Linked DNA regions of Drosophila melanogaster. The protein of the gene in region 1 purifies or fractionates together with the protein of each later gene. This does not show direct contact. Each region holds a gene or a part of one and is shown on either strand. Other genes may lie near its edges.

Region 1 (5,052 bases):
AATCTACTGCGATTGAAGTCAAATTGTGCAAAATTAAAAATGAATTGTTTTGTTGAATTTAATGGGACAAACTTTATCTTTAAAGTGCCCGAAGGACGAGAGTTTTACACGGCGAATTCGTATAAATTCAGCTCATTTCACGCTGACCGCCCCCACAGATTGTTCCACTTGCTTTAGTGGACATGGCACGGGCCAGATTGCGTAATCGTTTTTCATCCGCGAGGACCCCTGAGAGCCCACCTGTATTGCCTCCCCCCACCACCCCTTCCACTACCCACGGCGTTCGGTGTGCTTGATGTTCGCATTTTCGAAAAACAAATTTATTTTCAAGCGCGCCCAATAAATTGAAACTGACTGACCCACCGCCATCGCCTGTTGACCGTTGACTCGGCGGCAGTTGTTTCTATTTCCATTTTCCGGGAAAAATTGTGGGATGGGCGAGGCGGAGGTTGAGGATTATGTCTTTATGTGCATATTTTGGAATTTTATAACCGTTGCGTTGCGTCGCTGACAGTTGAATGGAGGGGGGGAGGTGGGGAGCGTGGAACGCGGACAGATTCCTGTTTTTCACTTTTCAGCCAGATTTCGCCATTACTTCTAATGAAGTCAAAAGCCCCGTTGCTACAAGAGCGAAAACTGAAACAAAAGCTGAAACAAAAGCTGAAACAAAAGCAGTGACAAAGGGCCAAGGGCAAGCGGTCGCGGGGGAAAAGCGGTTGGAAAATATTCAAATTAATTTCAGGACATCTCCTGTTGGACATAAGTTCCTTTTGACCAGGTTGTTGTCGCCATATTTTGCGTGTTCGCCGCCACTGCCGACGTTTTTAATCCTGACTTATGGACTTCCGTATTCGGTTTCGTCATCAGCGTAATGCCTGCTGCTCTGTCGGTTGGGATGGTTGGTTTTCCCTTTGTTTTCCGCCGTACAAACTGCTGAATCGCTTTTTACAGTTATCCGGATGACCTGTGGGTGGTTGCTGCCCAATGCCCCTGGTGCAAATGTTGATGTTGATGTTGTTCCTGCTGTTTAGTTTTAATTACACGCGAGCCTGCCCTCGGTGGTCACGCCTCGATAACTTGATTTTCCAGCTCTAACTCATGTGAAAAGTGACAGCGTTGCGTTCACCTGGGAACTCGTCGCGTAACTTTCACTCACCGAAACTAGCAGGACATGCCGCAATTTGTCTCCCACTTCGAAATGTTGCCAAAGCAGTTCGAATGTTGCCAGCCGATTTCCAGCAACACCACGCTTCCAGCAACAAAGGCTGAAGTCAGCCCCTCGTTTCGGAGCAAAATTCGGAGTGGCATTCGTGGCGAAAAATATGATAGGGGTAGTTTTCATATGCCTCTCTCTAGGCAAAAAGCTGACGAAGAGTGACTGCTGAGCTCAAATAGCTTTAAGCGACAGGTGAACAACATGATATGACAGCATTACATGATCAATTTATTATATGTGGCTTGTGCTGAGAAGTGGCTAAAAGTTATTTAAATCGCAAAAGCAAAATATTGGATGATAAAAATGAAAAATTTGATGTAAAATGTACTTGCTGTAAAAGTTTGAATTTCAAGCTGTCATATGTCATACCTTCAAAATAAGATAATAGTTAAATCAGTTGTTTAAGTATCAGTTTCAAAAAAAAAAGAGTGTGAGTACACGAATTTAAGTAAAAAGAAAGAACAATCCAAATAAACGATATTTGTACTGTATTTTGTTATTGTCTTTTGTAAACAAAACTGTTAATTATGTTTTATGGCCAAAGCCAGGGCAGCGCAGCCTAGTGTCTAACAACTTGAGTTGGTAATGCCCATTTCGCCGTGGCACAGTTGTCCTGAGGCGAACTGGGAGAGAGCCAGCCATCTTTCGCTCTCTGAGCAGTGCCCTCTCTCATCGTCGCTCGGGTGGCCTCGTGGGCGTAGCCGAAGTGCACCGAAGCAACACGAAGTGTTGAGCCGAACCCGAATGCAGGGCGCTGAGAAACGACGGCGAACGGCCAGCAGTGTTTCAGTTGAAAGTGAACCCTTCGACGCAGTTGACACGAATCGCGCGCGACTCGTTCTAAGTGTTTTTCAGCAGGAGCAGAAATCCTGAAGCTGAAGCCAAAAGACCCAGCAGGACATCAGCTGTGCCAGCGAAAAGGATTCTAGCTGCAAGATAATAGTTATTTGTGCAGTGTGCTAACCTAAAAGCAAGCAGTTCTCAGACTGCAACTAACTAAAACAAAGCCAAGTGAATAAACTAAGCCAATAAGATATAAAAGTGAAAAACTTTAAGGATAATAAAACCGAAAACGATCGCTCGTCACATGAGTTCCAGTGCCGCTGGCGCAGGTAATAATTTGCAGCATATTAGTGAATTCTTGTGGGAGCTGTTCGCACTGAAATATTCAAATTGGCACCGAATGTCGCTTAGAATATAAACGTGTACGTGCTGCAAGGACTCGACTTGAGCCAGTGTTTACATTTTGGATTTTATGCGATAATACTCAAAGCCATCAGCGGCAGAAGTGGTAGCTTCGCTATATGGTTGGCTGTGTTATACGATGGCTAGGAGCCCAGGTGGGTGGTTGGGTGGCTTTGTGGCTCCTTTACCCCAGCCAGCTGCCAAATAAATAAAGCAACAATAACAGGGCGGGCAATAAAAGCCACCGCCAAGGGCTCAACCGCCGAACGGTCTTAGCCAAGAAGAGAGTCTGCGAAAGTAAGCAAAGTAACAAAACCAATTTTCATTGTTTTGCGGTGGCTTCCAAGTCGCACTTTCCTCTTGTTCTTTTTTTTTTTTTTTGTTTTTTGCAAGAAGCCGCCTTCAGAAACCAGAAGTATAACAAAATTTCCCTTAACACACACACACACATACACACCAAGTGGGAAAAATAAGGAAAATGTGCAAATGCCGACATGAAATGAAGTAGAACTTGGCATGTGGCGTCCTTAGTTGTATATATGTGTATGTGTGTGTGTGGGTGTGCTGGTGGGAAAATGTTTGTGAAAATGAGAAATGAAATAAACACATGCAATGGCGAAAAGCGAAAGCTTCATAAAAATCCGCTGAATTTAAATACTTAAGAGCATTCGCCGAAAGGCATTCCTGCCGACTTCTTCTCATTTGGGCAAAAGTTTTGCGTCCCTGAAAGAAGAGGTAAATACCCAGAAGCTGTGTAAATTAGGATCCAGATCCAGGCAGACTTAATCCCGGAGAAGCAAACGATAATAGGGATATCATACGATGGCGCTGTGGATGGGGCTTCGAGTTCTTCTGTGGCATAAATAAGTCGTTTGCAGCTGTTCGTCGGCATTTATTTGGCTGCCTGTTCAGGACATCACAATTGTTTCTGGCATTTGGTTAACCTGCAAGTATTCCGCATTCGAGACGTGTACACCAATTTCATATGCTAAAATGCTCGCAAAATCGAAAAAGGGAAGCCGGAATCGTAACCACACAGGCATTGGCAGCCCCAAAGGGGCGAAGACACGCGCTGCCTGCCATTTAATGCAATTGATTTGTGTTGCCTAATTCGGTTAGACGCGCTTCTACAATGCCAATTGTGCGAGCGATTCGGAGCACTGAGAGAAAATATGACAGTTAGATTTATTCAGGACCCCATCGGTAGTCTGTATCAACACAGGTTTATCAATAAGAAAAAGCACTAAATACAAATAGTCCAGGCAAACATTTTTCACAAATTTAAAAGAGATTTAAAAAGCCAGACTTTCTGGGCACTTCTCAATTTTTGGCAATTAGCAGATGAGCAAAAAACTTGTTTGAAATATACTTTATGAATGCCAGAGTAATCCGATTACAGATTTTTTCCTGTGCAGCAGCCATAACACTTGCAAGACAAGACAGCCTATCAAGCAATTTGCTCCGAAATTGCCAGTTTTAATTCCATTATGGGAGGGGGTGGGAGTTTGGTTTTGGAGAGGGGAGAAGGGGGGCAAGGCCACTTCACTTGGCTCGTGCCCACATCCAAAAACAAATCCACACCCACACCCACTTGAATGGCTCCTTTGTTTCAGCTCCTTTTTGCCAACGCACACGCACGCCCCAAAAGTTGATTGATATTCAATTGGTAGGCTTTCCCAGTGCTTGCCCGCTTTTCCGCTTTCCCACCGCCAGTTTTCCTCGATTTCCTCCTCCTTTGTTGGCCGCTTGCGGTTTGGATTTGCTGCTACACGATACGCTTTAATCTGCTCAGCAGCCAAGATGGCCAAGGCAATAGGAAAATCGGCGAACATATTGCCGGGATTGGCTTCCCTCGAAGTTCGAAGCCTCGGTCACGCCACAAGTTGTTGGCTCCCCCCCCTTTCCATCCCCTTTAGACGGGTTTTCTTTTCTCCGGCCTTAAGCGCTTTAAGTAATTTATAAACGCCTTTCGACCAGCCGAAACAAAAGCAATAACAACTTTGTTGGATTTGCTTTTCTGCCATGCACTTTGGACTTGGTCTTATTCTTACGAGCATTTCTCCAGTTCAGCATTGTCTTGCCTTTGGCAAGAAGTTGCGTTCAAGCCCAGTTTTTTATTTTTTTTTTTGTCTTGGCTTTTTCTGTGCTATGTGCTGTGTGTTGTGTGTTAATTGAATGCGATTAGGCGGCCAGAGGAGCTTTGTGCTGAGTGCTGATGGCTGTGGTTGCGGGTCGCCAATTGCAGGAGATAAATTGTAGCTAAGCTGGCTAACGAGCTCTTCCATAGTGGTTGTCAAGGTGACAACGCAGCACCACAGGCCATCTAAGCCGCCAGAGCCACCCAAAATCGTGCAAACCACCATCCACGCTATTCATTGGAAATTCAATGCGGTGGCCATATCATTTACGACATCGCCCATTAAAAGCCAGATAGCGGAGGCTTCCGAAGATTCCGTGACCACATTTTTAACATTTTAATTATGGCCCGGGCGTAACGTGATATCTCTGTGTACTCATATTCCGCGGGCCATCGAGATAAAGCTGAAAAATCAATACCAATTTCATGACAGCGATGGCGAACTTTAAGAGGAACGTATTGCTTAGAAATATTCAAAGTTTCCTGATGCCATCGCTGTCACATGGCACATCCC
Region 2 (4,975 bases), on another chromosome or scaffold:
AGTAGTACAAAATCCTTTCATCTACCTTTTCAATATTTTAAATATGGCTTTGGGCTAATAAAGTAATAAACAAATCGCAAATTACGTTTTCCTCTTAAAGGTGTTGAAAACTGTAAGAAATGCAAAGTATAATTGTGATTATAAATGTTGAAAACTGATATTTATATACTTGACAGTCTCAAAAGTGTGTAAACTTGGAATTTGTTGTTTATTTTCTTGTATAATTAATATTTTTAATTCGTTTTTTGATTCATAAGTAAAATAAATATTGATTAATTATATTTTAGAAAAAAATTGCGTTTAATTTAAGCAAAGAACCCTTAGTTTTTACCTTTAAAGTCAAAAATTCAACTTATTTCACAGTGTGTAAACAGTTTCTTGACAAACTGTATGTGCAAATAAGAAAACTAGTTGTAACTCTAAAGCAATTATGTTTTATGTATAGGTATTGAGAAATTCGATGTAACAATTGTTATCATTCCAAATTTAATGTGAATGCGCAAGTACACACATACATACATACATATATGCATTTGCAGAGATTGTCACTTGCAATCCATGTTTGCACACATCTGTAATGGAATTTGTTATACATTTTTATGCCCTTTTTTCATATAGATGAAAGTATGCTTACAAATGCAAGCATAGGTACATAGGTATTTAAAATATGCATACACATATTTACACATGTATATTTATTTGATTTTGAACAGATGTATAAAATATGTTTATATGAAAGTTCGTTCCTGAATTGCAGTTAACGACTGATAAGAAACTTTAATCTGTAATTAAAAGTTGCTGGAAAGCAAAACGCTGCTCGATAAGCACGCAGAAAGGCAGCCTGCGTGATCGGACAGAAAAAATTACAGTTCGAAAGAAGTTTACTCTTGTATTGTTCCCGGTTAGTAAATAAATCATCGTAAACGGAAGTCCACGCTTTGAAGATGATCACTAATAGTGCGTTGTGACAGCAGGAGACCACTGTTTAGAAGCGTAGAATAGGATGTCAGTTACGATTGTCTGATTACAACCATTTAAATCTTTTTTCTTTAACCATTAAAAAGTTAGATTACCGTGCCCACATTTTCTGAAAAGATTCCGCTGATGAATTGAGCTCTATGGCCGTACATATGTGAAGTGATTCCAAGTCAGCTTCCTTTTAAAAGTGCACCTTTCATGATAGATTTCCCATATTTAGGGTTTTTATACCACTTGACTAAAAAGGTATTTGATTAATTAATAATTATTTTGGCTCCTAATTATGTGGCTCCTTAGAAATCGGTCATTCCCCTATCCTTTACAATACTCCTCCACCGAGCTTAATTTCGCTTCGATTGGGCCAAACAATTAGACGATTGGGTGTGGTGTTCAAAAATATGGATATCGTTATGGTACTTATTTACAAGCAACTGTGGTTTGCAATCATTTTTATATTAACGAGGAACTTTATTCAATGAAATTAATATTTATATTCAGACCTCCACGGTATTTAATGTGAATTTCTTACATGAAGATAAGAAGAGAACAGAATTTTCTTCTTGAATATGAAGTAATATGACTTCGCATTTACATTTACATTTATTAGCAAATTAGCTGAACCAAATATCACGAAAAAATAAATTGAAAGAGCCGCACCAGATTTAATTTATTTTAAAATTCCTTTGTCTGGGAGAAGAACAAAAATGCAATTTCGGATGATGTTGAAACGAGATTTATTTCATAAAGTTAACTTATAAATATTTTTAATAACAGTGGTCGAGTGAGCGAATTTATCGGAAGCCACCTACATGACAGCCATTTGTTTTGTTTGGGCCCAAAGGAAATATTATAAAAATTTGAGTTAAAAATTTGTTCAGGGGTTTATCAATTATTGATCAGTTTCTGGAAAGCGGTGGAGTCGATATCGCCGTTCATCGTCTGTTTTGCCATCCGTTCGCTTCTACACAAACTTGTCTCACTAATTATCCCTGAATGAAACTTTCCCATAAAGTTTTCCAGTGACAGCTATAGTCAAGTTCCCCGACAGTCAGATATCCCTTACTCGACAAACGGAAGAGCAAAATATTTCCTTATTTATCGGCATTTCGATAAAAAATTAAAAAAAAAAATATTAATAAATAAATCGAAATATATCATAAATGTATTCGTGACGGATTGGAAAGGTGGCGTTGGGGTACATCGCTAGGCAAAATAAATTATATAATCCATGCAAATAAAATTATTCCTCAAAAGTGTGTGGGCGTGGGAGTTTTCGGAGGGTTTGTGGGGCGTGGCCAAAATGTTATTGGTTAACCGATAGAAATTAGAAAAATATATAATAAAAAAAACAAATATTTTTGAAAGGTATGGGTGTAGCAATTTTGTGCGGTTTGTACATCTGCGTTAGAGCGGGCATGAAAGCAAACTGGCTCTGCGCGTATGTCTCTGCAGTACGCATTCTTAATCTTAACTTTTTAGCTTATAGTTCCTGAGATCTATACGCTTACAGGGAAGGTCATACAGACTGACACTTTGAGACACATCTTATATAAGAGTGCACGTGTCCGATTGTTCGTTGGAGTGACTATACCTGCTAAAATAAACAAAATGTACACGTTACCCACTTGGGATTAGTTCGATTCTAGGACTTAGGTTAGAGGTGGAGAAACATCGATGTTGGTGGACATCGATGTTTTTGGCGAATTTTTCGTTGATATTTTAAGATTTATAAATAAAAATACATAACAATATTGTTTCAACGCACGGTTTAATGTTTATGTAATAATTAAAGTCCTTTGGCATGAATTTGTTCACACTCTATTCATTTATTCTATCGTACTAAAGTAGTCTCAATCAAACAATTAGTTCTCTCAATACCTTACATTGACTTATAGTCCGCCTATAATCAGATTAGGATTATTTTCTTTGATTGCCAAGGTGCCGTTTAGGCAAAACTACATATATATGTTTTATATGGATTTAGCTTCAATATCTCGCTTAAGTGTGTCTATGGTCTTATTAGCTTTCGAGATATAAAGCGATTGTACGAAGTGAGTACTACATATTTAATAAGTTCGAATACGAGCCTATGCGCCTAGAATGATTTTCTAGCTCTCGTGTTAAGGTCACACTGCTGGGCCTCATAAATTCGATAAGCGATAGTTTTATTTCCACTTAGTATTGAAATGTCAATAATTTTATAAAAATAATTGTTTTATACATATAGTAAAATTATATGCAGGTTAAAAACAAACCAAACTATCATCATTACAGGTGTAATTTCATTAATGTTAAGGAGTGAAAATATTAAATTAAAATTTCACGACTTTGAATGTTTGATTTAATTTAAATTAGAAAAAGGTTTTTATTATTGTTGTAGGAAAACGGAATCGCGTTTTGTTAAATTTCAATGGAGTCTGTGGCCCAGCAACTTAGAGAGCTGTCGCTTCCAAAAGGTGACACAGGCTCACCGCTTGTATGTATTGGACATGGAAAAGTTGCGAAGCTAGTCGCCAAGATAAGTAATAATCAAAATGCATCAGTAAAGAGGAGATTGGATATACCTCCTAAGCCGCCGATAAAATATAATGAAATGCCTCAGGTACATACATACTTTAGTATAGCCAGTTTGTGTTATATACAAAGCAATTCATTGATTCTCCTCAAAGGCTTGTTCTTTAAGCCTTAAAGTCCGTTATTGTACCGTTTTAGAGGGTATTTCCGTCCCTCTACAAAAGCATATGTAATATACTTATATATTATTGATCGGCTGGACTGTGAGCGAACATTTGCTACCATTCAGATGACAGAAATCAAAAACAAGTACAGACTAATGGATTGTTACACGACATATCAGGAGCAATTCATTAAAAAAAACATAATCAATTTTTAAGTAAATATTGTTTTAAGTATACATATGTAAATTTAGGGGATATTCTTAACTGTACCAGTACCTAAATATCTATCGCATGCCTTTTTCACTTCGGTAAAAACCAAACTGTGCAAACTGTGGCAATATTTAGAACTTTGCACAGCGTACAAAGTCATTAAAATCTGCATGTCACATCTTAGTTTTTATTTATAATACCCTTATTATACCCTGTATTATAAAAAGTTATTATTCTGAAAAACTGTGTATAATAACGTATACTTAAGCATAAATATTTATTTATTTCAGGTTCCATCAAGCAGACAGGTTTTGTGTTCGCGGGAACCACTATATTCACAACCTCTGATTGGAGTCGAGAAAACAATGAGGGGGCATATGCCTTTTAGAAAATACCTCAGCTCTGAATTCGGAGTTGCTGATACTCAAATAAACAGAAAAACAACTTTAGATAATCCGGCAATTTTGGAACAGCAATTAGAAGCTCTTGCTTACCATAAACTTCAAATGGAAAAAAAGGGTCTTTTGGGAGTACAAGCTAAGCCAACACAACCTCTCAACAGCTTTACAAAGCCCCTTTCAAAGACTTTAAGCAAAAGCTTAATATATTCTAATTTAGGTTCTGTTCGCAAAGAAATAGAAACATTAGAACTATTAACAGACGAAACTAAGATTTCTGCGAGTACATATTCAAACGTTAATGAAACTGGTATGTTTATGTAATGCTTATATAAAAATTGTATAGTATTAATTATAAAATAATTTAAATGTCAAAGCAATGGACTCTTCTCATAGCTCAACGCAAAAGATGCTATCCGTCTGCACTAATTTTATTTCAGACAACGAAAAAGATGAGTTACCGCCACCACCTAGTCCAGAGAGCGCTGTGAGTTCTTCATACAGTGAGCTTCGTCACGCCACTTTGGAATTCAACAAACCAATTGATTATTTACAAAATAACCAGACAACGAATCCTTTACAAATATATGCAAACCAATATGCGATGCAGCATGATGCCACAGGCAAGGTACACAAAATCTGAAGTTCATTACTCTGGAGTATATTTCTGTCTGATAAACAATCTTATTCATCTAATAGAAGTGCACGACA

The links.
Region 2: the proteins of klg (region 1) and apolpp fractionate together in Drosophila melanogaster (co-fractionation; one study listed by BioGRID). This does not show direct contact.

What each region holds. Positions count from the first base shown.
Region 1 is NT_033777.3:22,897,283-22,902,334, forward strand, and holds the start of klg (klingon), read left to right. Parts: upstream 1-2,001; 5' UTR 2,002-2,328; intron 2,329-5,052.
Region 2 is NC_004353.4:1,059,018-1,063,992, reverse strand, and holds the start of apolpp (apolipophorin), read right to left. Parts: upstream 3,025-4,975; 5' UTR 2,857-3,024; intron 1,316-2,856; exon of another isoform or gene 1,074-1,315; intron 1-1,073. Other genes in the region: Zyx (zyxin), read left to right, coding at 3,389-3,580, 4,157-4,574, 4,642-4,892. UniProt on the Drosophila melanogaster protein: Constitutes the major component of lipophorin, which mediates transport for various types of lipids in hemolymph. Acts by forming lipoprotein particles that bind lipoproteins and lipids.